2 linked regions of the Lonchura striata genome follow. The protein of the gene in region 1 interacts with the protein of each later gene in a biochemical or structural test. Links are inferred from orthologs where the notes say so. Each region holds a gene or a part of one and is shown in the gene's direction. Other genes may lie near its edges.

Evidence for each region.
Region 2: the proteins of PARD3 (region 1) and JAM2 form a complex in vitro, tested with the Homo sapiens proteins (2 studies listed by BioGRID and IntAct, with this or other methods). The link is inferred for Lonchura striata from reciprocal best matches to the Homo sapiens genes PARD3 and JAM2.

What each region holds. Positions count from the first base shown.
Region 1 is NC_134603.1:143,723,331-143,734,873, reverse strand, and holds the start of PARD3 (partitioning defective 3 homolog), read left to right. Parts: upstream 1-5,990; 5' UTR 5,991-6,119; coding exon 6,120-6,239; intron 6,240-11,543. UniProt on the Homo sapiens protein: Adapter protein involved in asymmetrical cell division and cell polarization processes. Seems to play a central role in the formation of epithelial tight junctions. Targets the phosphatase PTEN to cell junctions.
Region 2 is NC_134604.1:5,386,397-5,397,297, reverse strand, and holds the start of JAM2 (junctional adhesion molecule B), read left to right. Parts: upstream 1-6,591; 5' UTR 6,592-6,743; coding exon 6,744-6,798; intron 6,799-10,901. UniProt on the Homo sapiens protein: Junctional adhesion protein that mediates heterotypic cell-cell interactions with its cognate receptor JAM3 to regulate different cellular processes. Plays a role in homing and mobilization of hematopoietic stem and progenitor cells within the bone marrow.

The sequences.
Region 1 (11,543 bases):
TGAATAATTTGTGTGGTGGAATATATGTTCTATCATGTTTTGATAGGCCTTTTGACTAACATATCCTGTGGGTGTTCTTCTTCATGTCACAGGCAGGTATTTTTTCAGGAATGCTCATCAATAGATAAAACCTGATAGTGGCAAATAATTTGGCATAGCTTCTCTTCAGCAAATGGGTTCCTCTGGCAGTATCTGAATTTGTTCCACCTCTGCAAGTACTTGACAAATGAGCCCAGTACTGTAGCTCTGTGTTGATATTTTTTATTCGTTATTTGGGTAGAGCTGATAAGGCCTGAGGGTTTGATCCAAAGCTCACAGAAGTCAGGGAAAAGACTCCGCAAGCCTTTTTTAGTCACTGGATTTCTGTATTCTGTGTTTCAGAGCTTGGAAATCTGTGCCAAGAACTTAATCAATAACTGAAAGGCTGGAAGAAATGCAAAGAGCAAACTTCTAAACAGGCAGAACAAAACAATACAAAACAAAACAAAACAAAAAAAAAAAAAAAAAGGAAAACATCCAATAAATTCTCATCAGAAACAAAATGTCTCCAAGTAGCTTTTACAGGTGAGGCTATAAGTGAAATAACTTTCTGAAATTTCAAGGAAGTACCAGGCTTCTAAAAGCTTTAAGACAAAACTGAAATGGACATCCTAGAGTCCCAATATCATATATTCTACAAGTACCCTTTAGTTCAGTCTTCTGTATATTAAATAGGTTCACCTAGATTTCTGATGCTGCTTTTAAATCTCTTAAATTCTGCTATTTTTAACAGCTTTATTTTTACAATTTTTAATAGTTGCTGGTAATTGAAAAGTTGCTACAAATTTAATTTTACTGATGATATGTTTATATGTTTGTGTTAAATATTATAGGGCTAGGCAGCAATGACCCCTCTACTTAGATTATCTAGTATTTTCCATGGTGGAAAATACTGTGTTTAGTTTTTCATTTTTTAGGTGTTAGGAAGCTTTGATGACTGAATGTCTGCAGCTGCCCTTTGAAACTGGTCAGGGATAAAATTCCAAATCTGTGTAAGTGCTTCGTCTTTGTCCTGTGAAATTCTGCAGGGATTTTCTGGTCTCAGCTGTTGACATTCAGTGTTCCTGTTCTCCCTTTTCGTTTCCTCTGTAAAGCTTGCTGAAACTATAACTGATGATGTGCTTTGGGTATAACTAACCTCATACCCCCAAAGCAAGCCCTAGGGTGGCTGGATCCTGCAGAACAGCCTCGGTGGCTGCAGAACAGCTCTGTGGCATGAGAGAAAATGAGAGAAGGTGAGAGATCATTCTCGTCCCAGTGCAGTCCCTGTGGTGGGTGTCCCTCCTGGCAGGCACAGGCTTACAAACTCCTCATAGCCCTAAGGGCAAATAAAAGGAGCTGGTCAGCTCCAATGTGTGACTTAGATTTGTGCTTTGCAGTGCAGGGACATTCAGAACCCTACCTGTATCATTATGTGAACATAATTTTGTTCAGCCCATAGCATAAATATAGTGTGTGGTATGAGAGCAGGCTGAAGCAATTGGTGTCAATGTTTTCCTTATGACATTCCATAGCTCTAGCACACACAAAGATTATTTTGGTATCTCCTGGCAATGCCCCCTTGTGTGCTCTGGACACCTCCAGTAACTTCACTCTTTTCATGCAGCTCATGTTTTTCACTTTTTAGACCTCTAATGATTCTGCTTCCTTACCTGTGGATTGCCTTTAAGGGCCCAAACCAAGAAGTAACTCAATATGTTTATTTCAGGCCTTCCCAGATCTCAGCTCAATAAGCTATTAGTTGATATAAATTAGATAAAGCAATTCCATTTATACAGTTCCATGATGGGTGAAAACCACCCGAGCATTATCAAGAAAACTATTCAAATTCCTCAAACATAATTCTTTTAAAAACAGCAAAATTCAGGAAAAGAGTAGTGAATTTACCTATACTCATTCCTTAGCCCTAAACACCTCCCCACTACCCAAAGTTGCTTGAGACACAGGTTGGAGCCCCTGGAAAGGGTAACAGTCTTGTGGCTTTTCTTGAAAACAATACATTGTTCTTTGCTACAATTTCCTCCTTCTATTATACCACAAGGAAAGTTCTTGTCTTCCCAAATTTGTGTGTCTGCATTCCCTAAGTCGAACATCAATACATGTGTGATTCTGTAACTACCTCTTACTGATCTGAGGGCTTTTCAATCCTGAAATCCCAGACCCTTTTGAGAAATTGTAGAAAATAAATTTTTATTCAGTTTCTTTTTTTTTTTGTTGTTGTTTTTGTTGTTTTTGTTTTTAGACCAGGGCTAGCCACAAATTATTTAAAAAGCTTTAATAATTTTCTCAATCATAAAAGAAAATGATGGGAAACACTCCCTTACTTCTTTGTGGAAGAACCATCAGTATGGCAGGAAAAAAGTCACAAAATATAACATCTGAGAAATCAACCCATTCCTATAGATGAAAGGTTATCCATGGAAAGATCTCAGTCACAGACATGTTTACTTTGATTAAATTTCTACCTCAGAGTAAAATGTAAACGACTCAGAACTTTAAATTCAGAATTTTGAAAAGGAACTTAAGGCTTTACCTAATAACTCAGCAGAAGTGTTACAGCAGGTAGCTATCTTAAATCATTAAAACCTAGTACTGTTTGGTATATCCATAAGGCATTTTCACAAATGGCACTTTTTAAAAAAAGACCTGTAATTCTTCAAGGAATACTCTTGCTGTTCAGTTTGACACTGGTCTTTCTACAGTACTGTATGAACTTTAATGGGCTTAAGGAAATATCTATATTTAAAAGAAACTGAACTTAATACATACTCTACCTGGAGTTGGGGTTTTCTTATGAAACCAGGGAATATCTGTATGCCATGAACAGACTACTAAACCTGAACACATCCAGAATTATTCCATAAAAATTCTCTGATGTAGAGTATAAAGATGGGATAAACTGTGAGATAACTCTGGAAATCAGCATCATTCCACTGTCTGAATAATTTACCATTCCCGTAAAAAAGGCTTTTGATAATCTGCATTTAATTGCAAGATTCTCACTCCTTGCATGTTTGCAGCAGCGGCTTTCAACTGGTTGGCTGTTTTGAACAAAACTTGACTAGTGATCATTAGCAGCTTTGATTCTCTCCATCCCATACTTCACCACCTACTTCTTCCTGCAAGACAGATGATGTTTTCATGGAAATCCTCCATCAGTGTACCATTAATAAATGAATTGACAGGTTCTGTGGTCTGTTAGCCCATGAAAGTTCAACATCCAGAACCATATATATGCCACCCATATTGCAGCCTGGATAGTAGTTGTAATTTTTTTAAACCAGCAACTCTTGCCAATTCTTCTCCTGATTAGTATAATCCTTTTCTCATAATCTCTTATAATAATGTTTTATACTTCATTTACCGTACATAATTAGGCCTCATACAATCTCTCAGCCTTGTTGTATTTTTTTTTAAAGTTCATTCTTGCTTTTAAGGAAGAACAAAACAAACACTATATGTGGTAAATTTTATTTTAAATGCTTTCAGAATGATGTGTGTATAATTTGTGTGTGTATCTAGTGGGGAAGAAACGCAAATCTTTGAGGCTCTCATTCCTGTTAGGTCTATCACTATTCATGTTCAAGTCTTTAAGTTTTGGCCTTAAATCAGATCCCAGGACAGACTTGTTTTCTTGTACGTCATTACTGAATTTTCCTGTTTCACACATTTAATGGAAAAACTATCAATATTTCTTTCTAAACTGTTGGAGGTTTTTTTTGTTTTTTTTTTTTTTTTTTTTTTTTTTTTTTTTTTTTTCCAGGAGACTGTTAGAACAGCTGGGAAAACTGCCAAGCAACTTGTTAGAGACAGTAGGAGCAGGAACTAAATCACAGAAAAACATGAAAAACCTGTAGCTGCGTCTGAACAGTGAAATAGTTACTATCCACCAGAAAGAGTATTAAGCCTTATAAATATCAAGTTTTAGAGCAGTGTGGAAAAACTTCTAATATGCAACATTTTGTTTTAGCAGATAAATGCAAATGACAACTGAATGTGAAACATTACAAAGTCTATGACATAGTAAAGTTCTTGTTAAAAACAGCCTGGGAAGAGCCTCTATTGATTTCACATTTTCACAGTCCTTTCTGCAAGTTTCTTAAGTGATGTATATTAAACCAAGGATTTATAGCTCTTTCATCCTTTCCCAGCAGCTCTTATGATCACCTAGAAAGCACAGAAGCTGCAGGTTAGAGGACATTTTCATCTTTCTCCAATAATAAACTTGATGAGCTATGGCCATAAAACTGCAGAGTGTACTCAGTTGTCTCAGTCATGAGCTGTAAACTGTTTACACCAGTTTTATTTTATTTCTGCCTTTCTGAGCTCATGCATACTGCCTTTATTCCACACAAGTGAACACTGGGGATATGACAAAATATAACAACGCAGGTGTGCTTGTTTCCTGCTTTAAAAGGCAGACTATTTCTTATTTAAATTCATATATATTAGTCCAGATAACTCGGGTGGGTAACTAATAAAACTGGCATCTAAGCTAAAAATTATCTGTAGGTCAGCAAATGGATTCTTTGATCTTGTGAGTGCCCCAAAGCTTTCCAAAACTGAAATTAATAGAAAAAGGTTCTATAGATTTGAATGAAATTGGACATTATTCATGGAACCAAATTAATATAAACTGACTCCTCCATTTTCTATACTAGAAACTCCTAACTAGAATGCAAAGGGTTAGGGATGCCATTCTCACCCTTGACTTAACAGGGCAATAATTCTACCTTTGATGTTTTAAAAACATCATTAATTCTGCTCCATACCTCTGTACCTACTAAACCGCAGACAGCTTTGCCATTTGTACCAGGTTTGAAGTTCTTAAATTTACTAATACTATTGCTAAGGGAACAGGAGCAGACTGCCAGCTGGGACAGCTGCCGGGCAGGGAGCACCAGAGGACACGTGCTGAGTTGTCCGGTGTTGTAGAAGGATGTTGACATTATGTGCTACAAAGCTTACTTGAATTTCACATATTTAGCGCTGTGTGTTCAGGAAAAAGAAAAGAAAGAAGAAGAAGAAAGTTTTTTTTTTTTTTTTTCACTGCTTTCTTGTCCTCCAAACTCTGCTTTCACTCTAGTTAAATTGTTTTACCATATCTACACAAAAGATATATATTGTCAGGCCACACTGAATGACCAATGAACTGTGCAATTCCATTGTCCTCAATGAAATCCGTGGAAAAAAGTGAACGATATCTGCAAACCCCTATGACTTCTGACGGCTTTGCAGAGGAGATTGCTCAGCGGTTCCATTGATGCTGGTGTTACTGACGATGAAGGAGGTTTTGCACAGTGCCGGTCCTGTTGCGTTAACAGATGCCCGAACGACCAGGAAGGCCATCTGATTTCGGCCGTGAGCGGTGGCTGCGTGCCCCGGACACCGGGAGGAACAGCAGAGCACCGCGGTGTCCAGCCTTCTCTGCGGTGCCGTGCCCTGCTTTCCCCGGACCCGCGTACCTGAGGCAGGGCGGCGGCGCCCGTTTCCCCCCGTGCACCGGGACCAGGACTTCGCGGGGCTCCTTGTGCCGGTGCGGCCCCGGCTCCGCATCCCCGGTTCCCGGCGGGGCAGAGCGAGGCGGGGGCAGCCGCACCACCTCGGGCTCGCTCGGGGCTCTCGCTCCGATCGTGTGCGGGCCCGCCGGCTCCCCCGCCCCGTCCGCGCTGCCGGCGCCCCGCGGAGCGGCCGGCTGCCCCCGCCCCGCCGCGCCGCCCCACGCCTGCGGAGCGGAGCCAGCGCCGCCGCCCCGCCCGCCGCCGCTGCGCGCCGGGGCAGGAGCCGGGCAGGTGGCCGCGGGCAGCGCCGCGGCATGTGAGAGCCCCCGGCCCTCGGGAAGGCAGCACCGGCCAGTCCTGCGCTGCCCTCCCTTCCCCGCGCCTGCCGGGCCGGCCGCGAAGCCGGGGCAGAGGCAGGGCGGCCGCAGCGGCAGCCCGGCGGCGGCCGGGGGCTGAGCGCCGCGCCCCGCCGGGGGGCGGCCGTGGCGGAGGGCGGAGGGGAAGAGGAGGAGGAGGAGGAGGAGGAGGAGGAAGGCTGCGCGGGGCCGGAGGGACGCGGGAGCCCCCCGGCCGCACAGGATGAAAGTCACGGTGTGCTTCGGGAGGACGCGGGTGGTCGTGCCCTGCGGGGACGGGAACATGAAAGTTTTCAGCCTGATCCAGCAAGCGGTGACCCGGTACAAGAAGGCGATCGCCAAGGTGAGGGGCGCGGGGAGCGGCGCCCGCGATCAATATGGCGCTTCCCGGAGCGGGGAGGGAAGCGAGGGGGAAAGTCCGGGCTGCCCCGCCGGGGAAGCGGCGGGAGCGGGGCCGGGGGCGGCGGCGGAGCCCGCGGGAGCGTGTGCCCGGCGCCGCCGGGGAGCGGGGCCGGGGGGCTCGGCCCCTCCGCGGCGGCCGGCGCGGCCCCTCCGCGGCTCCCCGCGGGCCGCGGCCCTTTGTTCGCCGGTGCCCGGCGGCCCCCGGGGGCGTCGGTGCGGGAGCCGCCCGAACGCGGCCGGCAGAGCGGCGCGGGGTCCGGCGGTGCCGGGTCTGCCCCGGGGCGGGTGGCGGGGCCGCGGCGCCGCGGAGGGCTGGAAATCCAGCTCCAGGCTTCCCGGCCCTCCAGGCCCGGCGGGGAGGGCGGTGCGAGGGGACCCCGCCGCGGGGGCGTCCGGCGGCGCCCCGCGGGCCGCCCCCCGCGCCGGGGAGGCTGCGAGGGGCCCGCGGCCGCCCGCGGCTCCTCCGCGGCTCCTCCGCGGCCGCCGCCCCCGGGGGAGGCTGCGCGCCAGCGGGACGCTCCGCGGCGCCCCGGGGTGCGGGGGGCGCCGGCCCGGCCCGCGGCGGGGCCCGGCAGCGCCGCGCCGGCCTCCCGCAGCCCCATGTTGAAATCCCTGGCTGTGCGTGTGCAGGCAGCTGCAGACTTGGCTTTCCCTCCATGGGCAACATGTTGGGTTTTGAGTTTCTTCCCTTCCTTTTTTTTTTAAAAATATTTTTTTTCTCTCTTTCCTCCCTTCCTCCCTTTCCCACCCTCCCCGTGCTTTCTTGTCGCTGCAAACTTCTTTTTAATCAACTGGTTTGTTGGGCAGTATGAGCATCGTTGGCTGAGAACTTCAGCAGTGCCCTTCCCCTTTCCTCTGCCTTATCGATCCAAGAAGTTTTAGTGTGCTTCTCTCTCTTATCCCTTCTGAGACATTTTACACTTTTACCGGTTTTACTTTGGCCAATGCACACTGCCAGCCTGTCCTGAAACATGCAATGGAAGGAATATTGTGACCGGTTCATTGATTGGTTTGAAGTGATTCCTGAGAAAATTTTTAAAATCAGCTTTTTAATAGAGAATTGCTGATGCTGGGAGGAGAACAGGAACTAAGTTTCCCATCATCTCCCCACCTAAGAACGTGGGTTTGAAGACAGCAAACATATTCTGATTCTGTCTGGAAAAAAGAGAAAAATGATTCTTGAGGATACGGCTGTGGCTGCATACCAGCTGTCATTCATATACAGCAGTTAATGCACATGGCAGTCTACTTGCATGTAGGAGTCTGGGGCTGAAAGTACCTCTCTGGTTAAGGTAAAGCAGTGAACAGTAAAGTGAGACTGTTTATGGAACACTGAATGCCTCATTGGGCCATTCACATGAGAAGTGTTTGCAGCATTTGTTCATCAGTGTTAGAGCATTAATAAAAATAATTACTTTGCTGTGTTTTTTTCCAAAACTGTGGCCCGTGTAACTCCTGTGGCAATGGGCTGCATCCTGGCTTCCAAGTATTAAGCTGTGTTAAAGGGTGGCAGTTGCATTCTGCAGGATAATGTTAAACCTGGGAGGGATTGAAGTTGTAAGCACAGGGGACACACACAACAGTGACCAGGAAAAGGTTACATCATTGCAAATTTCATTATAGAAAAAAAGTGGCCCACCTGTGGAAGCATGGGAAGGAAAACATGTAACTGACTATGGCCATGTACTTCTTAAAGAGACAGTTTGCAGAGGGGCAGCCAGACTTTGACTGGTTCCTGGTATCAAAAGCTCTGCATCCTGGGTTAAAATGACATGGTGGTTTTATTTATTAGTATTTATATGGTGGTTATGCTAAATGCCACTGGTATGGACTTGAGGTAGCTGCAATTACTGAGATTGTTTCTATTAGATGGAAATTCTGTGGTTGAAAACAGTAGCAGTGTCCATGGGCTTTCTCTGAGTGTTTTATATGGTCACTGTCAAACCTTACTTTTAACTTGAATTTGCTGACGATTTTCTGTGGTGATGTTTAGGTGGGAGGGAACCGGATCTTACAGTAAGTAAGTTTTGTAAGTAGGTGTATAGTGCTGTTTGCTGTGCTTGCAGTAGAGTAACATAGTAATTGTCTGGTTTGGATGCTAGAACTCCACAGATGACTCTATTTTTGTAGCAGTTAGATGGCTCCTTTCTATGCTTGTGTAGCAGATGTGCAAGTCTTCACTTCGTAAGGAGACAAGAGAGGGGACAAAGTAATTCCTGAGAGGATCAAAGTATATGTGGCCATATGAACTTACAGTCTGGCAGCTGGTATCAAACTGACACTGAAATCTATTTCACCACCACTATGCTTGTATGGAAAGAATATCTGGTGGAAGATTATTCAAAATATTTGAATGAAGTCTATGGTTTTCATACTTATAGGAAAAGCAGCATTTCTCATCCTTCAAGAATGTGTGTGTCTACTTTTTGCAGAAGTTCTTCAGGAGAACTCCTTGAGAACTGAGTTGTCAGCCCTTCCCAGATTTCCCCCCGCTTTGTCACGGTTTCCCAGTTGTGATTAGCAGTGAGGCTGCCCAAAACCATGCTTGCAGAGTGCCAGGAGGGAATAGCTTCAAAATTTGACCTCAGTGTTCTGACTTGGTATTATTTAGGTTGAAGAGACATGTTGACAATGGAAAAAGTACTTATGGAGAGCAATCCACATAATAGTACAGTTCTCCTCGCTGTAAAATTTTAGGAGTTAAAGACATACAGATAATACAACTGCAGATAACTGCAGTTAGTTCTGCTATGTCTTTGATCAGGATTCATAAATCTCCAAAAATTTATTATGGATTAACATTGCTGTCAATGCTAAGTCTTTGTGTGTGGAATTAGTTATCAATATGAAAGGCTGTGTTTAAAGGCTGGTCTGTGTAGTGTGTATAAATTTTTGCGTTCTTTTACTTTTATTCCAAGAGAAGCTTTGTGTATGAAACATGATTCATTCTTTCTGCAGGTTGTGTTTGCTGGAAATGAACAAGCAAATGATAAGAGGTGTTTGAAGTGTCCACCTTGTTCAGGGCAAGTGGAGTCAGCAAAATCGATCATGTTAAATGAAACCCAGTTTTCATGGGGGCAGGCTAATGGTGCACTTGTGTGTGGCTGGATGGAGTGATGCAGCCTCTGGCACCATCTCTGCCGAGTCTTAAAGGAGTACAACTTGGGCAGGAGGAATGGGAGATGTAGTTTCCAGACCCTGCTGGTCAAGGGTTGTGCAGATTTGGAGTTGGTGTAGTCCTAGCAATTAATGTAATGGTTAAAAACTTGCAAGAAGGTAAGTGTGATTTAAGAGGGGAGGTCAGCCACATCTGAGTGGTTTAACATTGAGATGATGGCCTGCACCGTAAGGGAGAAGGCAGACAGTCAGTTGAGATGAAACATGCTTCTCAAATATTGAACCAGTGTTAAAAGGTGGAAAATTATTATAAAAATCATGTATTGAGCAACTATTGAAAGGAAGTAATTCTGCATCTTGTAACTTTGGTTTGATCTAGATGTAGCCAGAGATGTTTCTGACTTTTTTTGTTGACTTTTGACTGTCAGTATAATCTCTTGTGCTTTGGTTTTTGGGGAGGATATTGTAAGCATTTTATCTTCTTTTTCTTGCAAGTAAAAGTTGCATTGCTTAAGCAATGGGTAGATTAAAAAAAAAAGTGATGCAAATGGTAAGCAAGAGAATGCAATAGGAAATTGTAGATTTGCTCGAGTTGTTCAGTGGCATGTTGAGTCCCTGGAGGGGTTATTTGGTCTCCATGATAGTTCAGGCTGATGCCCGGCATATCATGAGCTTATAGGGTGCTCCTAGACTTTATATATAAAACTAATTTTCCAGTTAAAATAAATAAATTAAGTTTTACTGCTGAATCAAAAAGATTTAAATAGAAGTCTTGAGACACCTTTCCCCTCTCCCATGTCAAATGCTGTAGGAGATGAAGTTTTGTGAGGGTTTTGATGTTGCATGGAACAATACTTCAATTGTTAATTTGAAAACTGCAGTGCACTAATATTTGTGAAAAGAAATTGTAATCTGCTCTTTGATAGTGTTAGAGGCTGTTGCTGATAAGAGACCAGAACTCCAGGAGAGTTGGCAGTGTAAGCGAAGGTAACAGGTGTCAGATGACCATATTCTCTTGTAATTTGTACACTGGGGGCTTAAGCCACCCAAAGCTTAAAGCTGCATCTCTTTGGTAGGTCTGACATTCATCAGCAGGGAATTGTGAGGGATGAGGGTTGAAACCTGAGTGATTGTGTCTGTGAAGCTTGCTTTTTTTTCTGTTTTTGATTTTATCCCCCCAGTGCCAGCTAACGGGGACTATTTGCTTAGAAGTCAGTTCTCAGGCAGCCGGTTCTCTGCCAGGTACACAACGGCAGCTTTGATGCAAGTTGTGTTCTGTAGAGCAAACAGTTGCACAGTTCCTCATGACTGTGTCACTGGGGCATGATTTGTAGAGCCTAACACATGGGTGGGTTGGTGTGAAAATCTGCTGATTTTGCTTGGGCTTTGTATTGTTCTTGGCACATTCCCTCCTTGAGCCAGACCACTAGGTTTTTGCTACAGGCTTAAATGGATCTGCCACAATGCCCATTCAGTGACCCCTTTGGCAATACTCAAGGGCAGTAGAGGCTAAATTTACCATAAAAAAGATTTAAAGTTCTTTTTGTGTGTGTATGATTTTTATTTTTTTTTACATTTTTAGGTTTGGATTTATTTTTTCTATATGTGCAAATCTCAAGCCTTTTTTAAGTAGAAAGAAATCTTACAGGTGATTTCCAGAATGCACAGGAATCCTCTCAACCCCAAAATGTCAAAAAAATGCCTGTCACCCCTGCTGCTCAATTGGCAATCAGTTTAGTTCTAGCCAACACCCCAGGATGATGTTTCTGGGCTCTGCATTCAGTGTTGGCTGGGTAGTATTTCAGTGATTTAGCTGAGGCCAGCCAGGATTCAGTGAGGCTCTGGGCAGTTTTGAGCTGTCTCTTGACCTCTTCACTGAGACAGGTTCCCAACAGTGCAGTGAAACCCAGCTGTTGGGGAGCCCAGCTGTTGGGGAATGTGATTCTGCTGAGGCTTGGTGAACAGCAGTGGAGAGATGCTAATTTAAAGAAGATAAGTACTGAAATGGGTCATGATTGCTTCACATTTAGAAAGCTACTGTGTGATCCTGCAGATTTGGTGCTGGAAATGCAAGGCTATAGTGATAAATTCCCTCTGCTCATTGAGGAAAACTTCTTGTAACTTCTCT
Region 2 (10,901 bases), on another chromosome or scaffold:
GGAGGGGAATAATACACAAATAGGGTGTCATGAGCAACAGGACAAACGCAGAGCTCTCTGGAGAAAGAGGTAGGGATAGGGAGGATTGACAATTTGGAAGGGAGGAGGTTAGCGAAGGGCTTGGGAAGATTGTCAGGGGATTAGGGAGGAGAACAAGGGGCAAACATGGATTCAAAGCAAAACACACCACAGCAGCTTAAAAATTCCTGTGCCTCACTTTGCCATTCTTTTCTGTTCTCACTGCTCATCCTCTAGGTAAACAACCATAGCAGCACTGTACAAGGCACTGAATGCAAGGTCACTGAAGTGATACAATTTGCAGGATGAGTACTGCTGAAAGATAATGTTTTATTCATATGATTAACATTATTTCTTATACTAATTTTCATGCACAAGCAAAGTGAAAGCAGTAATCCATGGCCAGAAGCAGCAACAGCCTTGTAAGACAACATGCAGTGTAACTACATCTTAAGAGGTATATTCTCATAGAATTATAGAATCATGGAATCTCTGAAGTTGGCAAAGACCTCCAAGACAATCAAGTCCAATCTTTAACTGAATAGCACCACATGTACTAAACCATATCACAAAGTACCACATCTACTTATTTTCAGAACACTTCCACCACTTCCCTGTGTAGCTTGTTTCACTGCTTTACAAACCTTTCTGTGACAAATTTTTTCCTAATATCCAACTTTAACTCCCCTGGTATGACTTAAGACTGTTTTCTCCTTTCTTATCACTTGTTACTTCGGAGTAGAGACCAGACTGGCTACACCATCCTGGGAGGTAGTTGTAGAAAATAATGAGATTTCCCCTTTTCTCCAGGCAACCAACTCCAGGTTCCTCAGCCACCCCTCATCAGACTTGAGCTCCAGATCCTTCCCCAGCTTCATTGCCCTTCTGGACATGGTCCAGCACATGAATGTCCTTCCTGAATTAAGGGGCCCAGAACTGAACACAGGTTTCGAGATGTGGCCTCACCCAGTGCTGAGTGCAGGGAACAGTCCTGGTCCTGCTGGCCATACTTTTTCTGAGACAAGCCAGGTGCCATTGGCTTTCTTGGCTACCAGGGCACTTGCTGGCTCACATTCAGCTGCTGTAACCAACACCCCCAGGTCCTTTTCCTGCTTTGCAGCCTGTCCTGCAGGGGGTTGTTGTGACCTAAGGGCCGTTCCTGGTAACTGGCCTGGTTGAACCTCAGAGCACTGGCCTCAGCCCATTGATCCAGACCCTGCCTGCCCTCCAGCAGATCAACATTCCCACCCAGCTTGGTGTTACCTGCAGCTGACGAGGGATGCACTCAATCCCCTCCTTACAAAGAGATGAAATAGGGTTGTCCCCAATATTGAGCACTGGGGACACCACTGGTGACCAGTTGCCAACTGGATTTTACACCACTCACCAGAAGTCTGGGCTCTGCCATCCAGGCATTCTTTTACCTAGTGAGCAGTAAAGCGTTATGAACACTGTGCCAAAATAATTCCGAATTCTCCACCAGTAGCATTGTGGCTAATGCATTGTCCACTGTTGCTTAGGCTGAATTGTGTCCTACAATGCCGTCCTATGTGATGGATCTTTTTTTGAAATGTACCTTTATTTGCTACTGAGCCGCCTACTCAGTGGCAGTAATCTTGCAAATTCAGTTTAAAAAAAAAAAAAGAAGAAGAAGAAAAAGGCATTGATTCTGTACTTAGCAAGTCAAAGATAAAATCATAGAAGACATTCCAGAAAATGAAGGTGGGCTGTAGGGGTTTTCACTGAAAAATGCTACTAAGAACAAGTAATTTGTATTGCTCTTTGCTTGCTCTGCCCTCACATTTTGTGGCCTTCTTGATTGAAGTTTGACAGTCCCATTAGGTATGAAATATTTTAAGAGTCTAATAGCAATACAGTGTTCTATCACTACTCTAGTCCATTGCATTATAGCCACGCAACTAATCCATGGCATGGTCTGTCTTTAAACAGCCATCAGTGACAGCTTGAAGAAAAAAAAAAACATATCTGAAAATATTTTTTTGCTTCTTTTCTCAAAAATATTCTTGCTCACAGTTTTTAGTTTCAAATTACAAAACAAGCAGATACTTTTTCAGATAAATCAGGTATAAAAAATAATAAAATGCCACAGAACTCAAAAGGAGACAAGGCCCTGGTGACAGGCAGGGGAGTGGCAACCATTAAAGCAATACCCCAGGACATTGTAAAAAACCAGGTGCCATGATAACTAAAATTGCAAAAGAAAATGTGTCCCTTAAATTGGAAATATCAGCCTGTCCCCACATATGGTTGTTGATTATTCTTTACACTAAAGGGCAAGGCTTTCAAGCTGATAGATTCAATGTACTGCAGGCTGGCAGTTAAAGCTGCATAAAAAATGCATAGTACATCAATATACAGACTTTAGGAAAAAAAATATGATATTGATTGTAAAATATGCGTATTGGCAATTGAGCTAAATTAAATGGAGTCTGTTTTAGCAGTTTTACAAAATAATTTTCCATCAACTTATCCCATAGCTATGCCTGGAATCACATCAGAATGGTCACTTCACAGCTGTGTGCTACTGTATTCAGCATTTATTAGAGCAAATATATGTAACAACAATTTAGTGTGCTGAGAAAAAATATGTACAGAGATCTTATGCACAGGCTGTGGCACCAAATCTCAAATGGCACCTCTGACCATCTCAAACATAACATTTCTCTTTTTAGAAATATGGAAAAATCTGTTTCTTCTTTGTTAAATATGGAAGCATATTCTAAGGTGTCTTCTTGATCAAAGCCTGAACCATGTAAGTTCCAATAACAGTGAGCTCTCAAGTGTCCATATAAAGAATGATAGGCATGATTATTCACAGGAACACTTTTTTTCTGTGTCTTTCATTTTCTCCCTTTGTGGCTCCATATTCTACATCTTCCCCACTGCTACTCTTATCATTATCAGGCACGGTTGTCTACAAACTTGCTGGGTTATCTTCTATTATAGATGAACCAAGAGACACTAAAACATTTAAAGAGCAATCATGGTAGGAAAGCACAGGAAGAAAAAGGGAAAGCAGCACAGAACTGTAATCCTTTATGCTTTCACTGGCATTTCACTCTGCAAACAAGAGAACTGCTACTTCCAGATCACCACATATCTATACTACCTGCTTATCAGTGGGGTAAAAATATGTGCTTTCTTACATGGAATGAGGGTTGCATTATTTAATCTTCTTAAATTCAATGAGTAAACTTGAGATATGCCTGAATGTGACAGACTAGGGAAACATTGTCATTCATTAAACTTCTTTCTAAAGTTATTTTTAATGGCAGTAAAGGGATGAACATTCATTATCTCTTCTAGTCTGGCATGTGTAAGGCATAACAAAGAAGAGATTCCATAGAAATTAGCATCTTACTCTTCAAGGTGCTAATTAAGCAGCAAGTTTTCTTCATGTACTGCACTGCTTCACCACTTCTGCCCCTCTTCTATGCAGGTTTTTGAGAAGCGGAATCAGTCATCTTCCTTGGTAATCTATCTGTGATAGATTTGAGTATCTACATTGCAAAACTTTTGCAACCAAATTTAGCAGTTCTAATTTGTTATACTGATTTTTTATTGTTGTTATTTTACATCAAAGCTATTCTAGAAATCAGCGTGTTAATTGCAGAAGAATAAATCTAGAGAGGTTTTATTCCCCTCTGCAAAATAAAATACATTTTGAGTAGAGAAATCACCAAAAGGAGGATTCTATAACTTAATTTCTCTTTATTCATTTTTAGCATTATATAGCTAGGAAAGATAAAATGTTTCCCAAGTGAGGAGCCAGAGGCTTATGGTCTTTCACTGAATTTTTACAAATTATTTTTCAAAACAATTTTTCTGTTAGGTGAGAACAGAACTCTTCAACTGTGTGTCACAGACTGAAGTGGTTCATGCCTTAAACATTGTTATGAAGGAGTTTTGCCCATTATAGCAAAAACTATATTCCTGGGATTGTAACAAGACATCCAAATCTTGAAATCATGTTGCAATTACACTCAATTTTTCAAGGCTTTTCTATACAAAGAACTTGACCAGAACAGCTATCACAAAGTAAGATAGTTATTGTTGATTAGCATTTTGTGTGCAGATGTTAATTATAAACTATTTTTATTATTCTAAAAAGGAGTGTCTGTGGTAAGTTCTCCAAGAATATCTGTTAAAGTGAGCATCTCAAACAAATTCTTCCATTTTGGGCGCTATGTGTTATTTGATGAAAACATTTCTACTCCAACTTTAAAAGGTAAAAAATATGGATAGCAGTCTTGTGCCCTTCTAACAAAGTACTTAACAGTATTTTTAAGAATACAATTGTTGAGCAAAGTACATAGAGAAAAAGTGTATATATTACATGAACTATATGTATTACAACCATTTTTCCAGTAATTCTGTAAGTGCCTTCAAAATACTATCATTTAATTGCTGGTGTTTCCTGTAGTAGTATAAAGCAAGTGGAAAAACCATAATCTAGCCATTGCTGAAATAAAAGAAGAGAATGAAAAGAAAATATGAACTGTACAAAAAACAGAGAAATGTGGGGGAAACACTAGGAATTTGCTTCACTTGCAAGAGAAATAAAATAGTGAACAGAAGAAAGGAACTTTAGTCTGACCTCATGCTTGAATGGATTTGCTCTAGTATAAGAGCTGCATTAATGAATCACAGAATCACAGAAAGCTTTAGGTTGGAAGGGACCTTAAAGTCCATCTCATTCCACCTCCTGCCATGGGCAGGGACACCTTTCATTGGACCAGGTCGCTCAGAACACTTGAACACTTGAGCCTTGGACACTTCAGGGATGAGTCAGCCATAGCTGCTCTGGGCAATCCATGCCATCATGCTCACTGTAAGGTTTAAGTTTATATATAAACCTAAATTTTCCTCTTTCAGTTTGAACCCATTATTCCTTGTCCTGTCACTACATTTTCTGATGAAGATTCCCTCTCCTGCCTCCCTTCAGATACTAGAAAGCTGCTGTGAGTTGTCCATGCAACCTTCTCTTTTCCAGGCTGAACAATCCCAGTTCTCCCAGCCTCTCCTCCCAGCAGAGCTGCTCCATCCCTCTGCTCCCCTCGGTGCTCCTCTGGCCTGGCTGCAGCAGGTCCCTGTCCTTGCTGTGCTGGAGCCCAGAGCTGATGCAGCCCTGCAGGTGGGGTCTCAGCAGAGCGGGGCAGAGGGGCAGAATCCCCTCCCTGCCCTGTTGCCTACTGGATTTTGGATGCAGCCCAGCACAAGGAGGGGTTTTGGGGCTTCCAGCACACACAGCCTGGGCATGTTAGTTTTTCATCAGCCATCAGTATTAATAACATCCTATATTGCCTATCCTTTAATTTCATTCCATACTGCCATTTCTTAACATTCCCCATGTTTATAACTTTTCCACCAGACTCTTGCCATATTTAAATGTTATATCAAGACAACATTTCCGTCATTGTCTGACTAAATAGTAAAGCAGTTCTACTGAAATCAATGAACCTTTGTACTTGCCTAAAACTATGATGTGCTGGGACACACAAAAAACTTTTCTGTTTTCAATGGGACAGTTTTGATTTTATAAAATGCATGTCATGATACCAGTAATGTATACTGGACAGACATACATACATACATATATGTATGTAGATCTTTTAAAAGAAATATTACTTGTGTTCTGTATACATTTTTTTCCACGTGAAAAATAAACTAAGATTTTGCCATGAAGAGCATCATGGTATCCTACTTCCTTGTTCTCCATTAAAATAGCTGTTAGAGATTTTATTTATAAATGATCTTTCTTCATTTTCTTGCTTTCTAACAAAATATAGCCATCATTGATGTTCTGATTACCAAAAAAATTACTTGTGATACTTTTCTTGTTATAGAATTGCTTTACATCAGTGGTAATGCATTTTTAAGATGTGACTGGAAACTACTCAGAGACACTATCCACTGTCAAGATGAGTAATTTTCCTTGATTCATAAATTTAAAGAACTATTACACCACCTGTATATTTAACAAAAAACTCTCATAGTCTGGTATAAAATAATAACATAATAAAAATATTTTGAAGGTCACCGTGTAACCAACCCATCTCCTGCTGTAGGTGGGATTCTGTCCAATCCAGCTGTATAGACAGGCACACAAGGAGTCACTGTGACTTCTTTCGCCTTAAAACAGCGCCTCGCCCTCACATGGCTTTTTTGTTAGCCGGAATATCCAAGTGTTTGTTCCGTGACTTCACCCCGTTATCCCTACTTCCTCCCTGAGAGGATTTGCCTGAAGGGAAACGCGCCGACAGGGACAACGCTCTTCTTAGAGACATTCAATCTTTTCCTAACGAAAAGTTTATTCTGTTGCAACAAATGTCCTTGAGTTTATGAAGATGTCACAGCTTAAAAAGGAACAAAACGGAGACAAGAACTGCTGTATTCAACACCCCAGAGCCCCGGGGATGCGCGGGGGCATTGCGGGGGCGGTGGAGGAGAGGGATGCTCCCGGAGCCGCATCCCGCCGCGGCTCCCCGCTGCCGGGCGGGCGGGCGAGCGGGCGGGTGGCCAGGGCACATCCCCGCCCCGGTTCCTGCGCTGGGAGCGGGGAGACGCCTCCTCGGACACGTTAAAAGTTTGAGGCGGCTCCGGCTCCGGAGGAGGCAGAGCGCGGCCGCGCACGGCAACAGCTCCGCGGGCGCGGAGCCCCCGGCGCACCGGGCACCGCCCCACGCCGCCGCCGGTACGGGAAGATGGCGAGCCGCAATCCGCGCCTGCTGCTCCTCCTTTTCGTGGGGTTCTTCAGCTGTAAGTGCCCGCGTCCCTGTCCCACGGGGCCACCGCGCCCCGCCGCCCCGGCCAGCTCCCTACTTGCGGGGCTTTCCGACCCGCCACGCCGCCGGGCTGTGCGGGGGACGCTCCCCGCGGGATCTTTACGCGTGTGTTGAGGCGGATGGCTCCTGGAGGTGCCGCTTCCCCTCCCTCATCCCGGGGCGAGAGCAGCCAAATAGCGTTTCCAGGAGCGAAACGCAAACGAGCGCGTCCCCCGCCACACGCATTCTTTCCGTGTGTCTTTCCATGGTTTCGCTCGGATGTAACCTGTTAAAGGCCGGCCTGGTTAAGTGCGAGTCAGCGGCCGTCTGCCGCCGTGCAAACTTTAGGATGCGGGCTGCATACTTTGTTTTTCTGGCCTTTACAAGGTGAATGAACGAGGGGCGGGAGCGCGTTTTCTGTTGCCAGCGCTGGATGCTGCATCTTCGGAACAGTTCTTGAGTTTCCAGTATTTTTATGCTCCGAACTCCTTAAAAATAAAAGGTTAAGGTTACAATAAGTTGAGCAAAGATTCCCCAGCCAGAAAGCACGCATAAATAATAGGAAAAAGCAGATATGTGCAGCACATACCTCCGGAGAGCCACTGAATTATCACACTGTTAGTAGTGCCAGTTGTGATAAGGCTGTCACTTTCAGATCATGTCTTCTTACAGTGCTTCTATTCTATGCTTTTTGTGTCTTACTGATGTTTGGGGAAAGGGCTGTACATGAAAATAGTGTTTTGAAAATATTTATGTTGCACCATCTTCCAATGAAATGACCACCTAGGACCAGCCCAGGATGGGTTCTCAATCCACTGTAGATGTGGAACATCCATGGTACTGATGCTGGGTATATTTTGAGGTTTACCTTTCATTCCTCTTAATAGAACATTACCTAACAAAAAGCTTTGTGTATATAAGCTTCCCCCCCCTTTTTTTTTTTTTTTTTTTTTTTTCAGAGTCCTGCAGTGGAGATATTTGAAGTTATGCATGTCTAATAGGTCATTGGCTTGGAATTTTTTTTTCCCCTCTCTTTTTTCTCCTACAAGACCTTATGGAAATGTTGGGCTGTTAAATGAACAGCTAGTGCAGAAATTCTCTTTCTCATAGTAACTAATAATAATAAACAACATGGCTTGCCTTTTGGTTTTTTTTTTTTTTTACTTTATTTCTTCTTAATTTCATTATATATCTGAGCAGGTGAAACTGCTGTGATTTTTTTTTTTTTGGTGACAGATTTCAGTGTGTTCAGGCTGCTCAGCCTTCTGGTTAGTTGTCTGTTGGCAGTGCTGGCTTTGACTGCTAAGGAAATGATAGAGCGTGCAATACAGTGCATCAAAGTCTGCTGCCTACATCGTTATCAGACTTGAAAGTTTCTTCTTGGTGGGCTTTTTTTTTCCCCTTACTGTCCCAATTCCAAAGAAACACTAGGTGGAAAGCAAGTTTACAAGAAAGGTGCTGATAAGAAGTCCTTTCATTCAGAAAGTGATTGTAGGTGCATGAGTGTGCAAATGCCTACTGTTTGTGGGAGTCAGAGGAAACCCAGGAAGAAATCCAGGAACCAGAAGTCTGCTGCTGCTCCTGTGGCTGGAATGTGTTTACATGAACAGTAAGGCTGAGTAATTCAGGTGTCCAAGCCACCTGAATGGGCTGAGCAGTCTCTTATGTGGGACCCATGTGCTCTGGAGATGGTGGAGAATGGGCAGAAACTAGTGAGGAAAAGGAAGTAGTGATACCTCACAAGCAGCATATGGGTAACGTGGCAAGAGGACACACCCTCAGGCTGAGTCAGGGGAGGACATCAGGAAGAACATGGAAAAGGTTGTTAAGCATTGGAATGGGCTCTCAGGGAGGTGGAAGGGTCACCATCCCTGGAAGTGTTCAAGAAACAACTGGATGTGGCATTCAGTGCCCTGGTTGTGAAAGTGCTGATTGGTCAAAGGTTGGACTCAATGGTCTTAGAGATCTTTTCCAGCTTAAATGGTTCTGCTTAAATGGTTCTGTGGAGCAGGTATAGAGAACTTTCTTGGTAGCTGCAGAAATTAAAAGCTGTGTAAGTTGGTCACAAGGCATCAGCATAGCCAAGGTAGATGATGTTTGCTTTTCATTGGGAACTTGCTAAGAAATAGTCATGCAGAAATTGTAGTTTCTGTGAGCTAATCATCCCTTCCACCTTTAATTTATGGAAACTAAAGAAGCTGGGAGTCTTTAATCATGTTCTCTTTCAGCACAGGCTTCTGGAATTGACATCTCAAAGTTGAAAAAGGTGCCGCAGCGTAAGACTTGTGAGCTCTGTTGGCAAGACAGAATATGTACAGAAAATGTTATTAACCATCATGGCTTCATGGGAGGAGATAGTATGTACTGACCAAATGGCCTTTCTGAGAAGCATCCAGGTGTGATTTTTCTTAATATTTGTGCACACTGAAATGAGCCTTCAGCTGGCGATGCTGGAAGCAAATGCAGTACAATATGTGTGTGAGAGGACAGTGCAGAGGCAATAAATAGTAGTCTTACCTAAATATTTGATGGAGCTCACTGGGGTAGTTTGAGAAGTAAGTAAGGTGATATTTTGTTTATTTTTTTCTGGCTTAAGAAAACCCCACTCCTTAATTCTCAGAAACCTTTCACTCAGATACAGAGATTCTAGACCAAAGAAGCCTTTTGTTTCTTTTCCCCCCCAACCCCAACAAAAAAAATCATAAAGCTGACTGCATTGCTGTAGGAAGTGACAGTGGAAGTGTTTAAACTATGCTTTCTTGACTATATGTGAGAGACAACTGATGTACTCAAAATGGAGACTATTGTCAACCCTCAGCCTTTTGTTGAACCCTCTTTGCTGGATTGGCTTGGTAGGAACTGATTCCTAAATTAGGCCATATTCAGGTGAGATGGGATTTCTTAAATTTGTAAGACTGCATATTTCTCTAGTAATACCTGTTCAGCATAATGCTATAAAGCAGACAGCCTGGTTTTGGAGCAGGACTGGGGGAAGAGGAATTAACTGAATGTTCATTTCATTGCTGGTTTAGGTGAGAAGCAGTATTTATTTGCTTATTTAGTAACCTTTACAATTTCTCCCTCTTGCTTAGATCCTCTCACCTCAGAAGAAACTGGCTGTGAGTTACTGATTTCTCTCAGAAATCATGGCTTTTGCAGCATTTCAGCAAGTCATGCTGTTTTCCTGGGCATGCTGCTTAGAAGGGTCTCTGTTTTCCTGAGAGGGCTCAGGCACAAGTGTTGCTGTTCTGTCTCCCTCCTGTCTCTCTCCAGCAGAGGCAGAGAGAGCTCTTCCTTGGTTGGCCCCATGGTATCATTTTTCTAAGCTGCACAAAAAAAGAAAATGAGGGTGGCTGTCTTCCCTCACTGTATACAAGACAAGAAATGTGCCTGGAAATGTTACATCAAGACAGTTGCAATTCTTTTCTTCTTTTTTAAGGTGGACTTGTGCAAGAGGAGAACTTTGTTATTGCTTGGCCTCCGAGGTCCTGTTTTCTCAGCTTTAAAGTTGCAACAACTCTTTGTTCATGTTGTAGGATACATATTTCTGGTAACTGTGAATATCATAGGGCATCTGGCATTAATAATGACAGTTAAAGCTACCACTGTGACTGGCAGATCTAATTGAGCCTGGATGAGGTCTTCCCGTTGTCTATTTAACTGAATTACACAAAGATATTTATGTGATTATTTCCTGTAATTCCTGCTGCAGCCTATTTTGGTAACTTCCAGGTTCTGCTTCAGAAACTGGCTGATGCCAGTGCAAATGATTTGGTGAGAATACAGAAGTAGTTGTTTTTTGACATCATCTTTTCAATTGATTGATTTAAAAGAACACCTAGTTTCATCTGTCATGACTTAGAGCTAGCAAACCTGTCTGTGTTCACTAACTCCAATTGTTATTTGGGATGTGTGCAGACCTGTTTTTAAAACATTACAGCAGACACTTACCCTTCCTCCAAGGTTGCCCCAGGTGGTTTTATTTCTTCTCAAGTGCTAGTGGTCACTAGGGAGAAGTCCTCTTGTGAAGTATGGGAGAATCTTCTTGTACATCTGATACTAAGAAAATTCAGTTTCCTCATAAATTCACATGAGTAA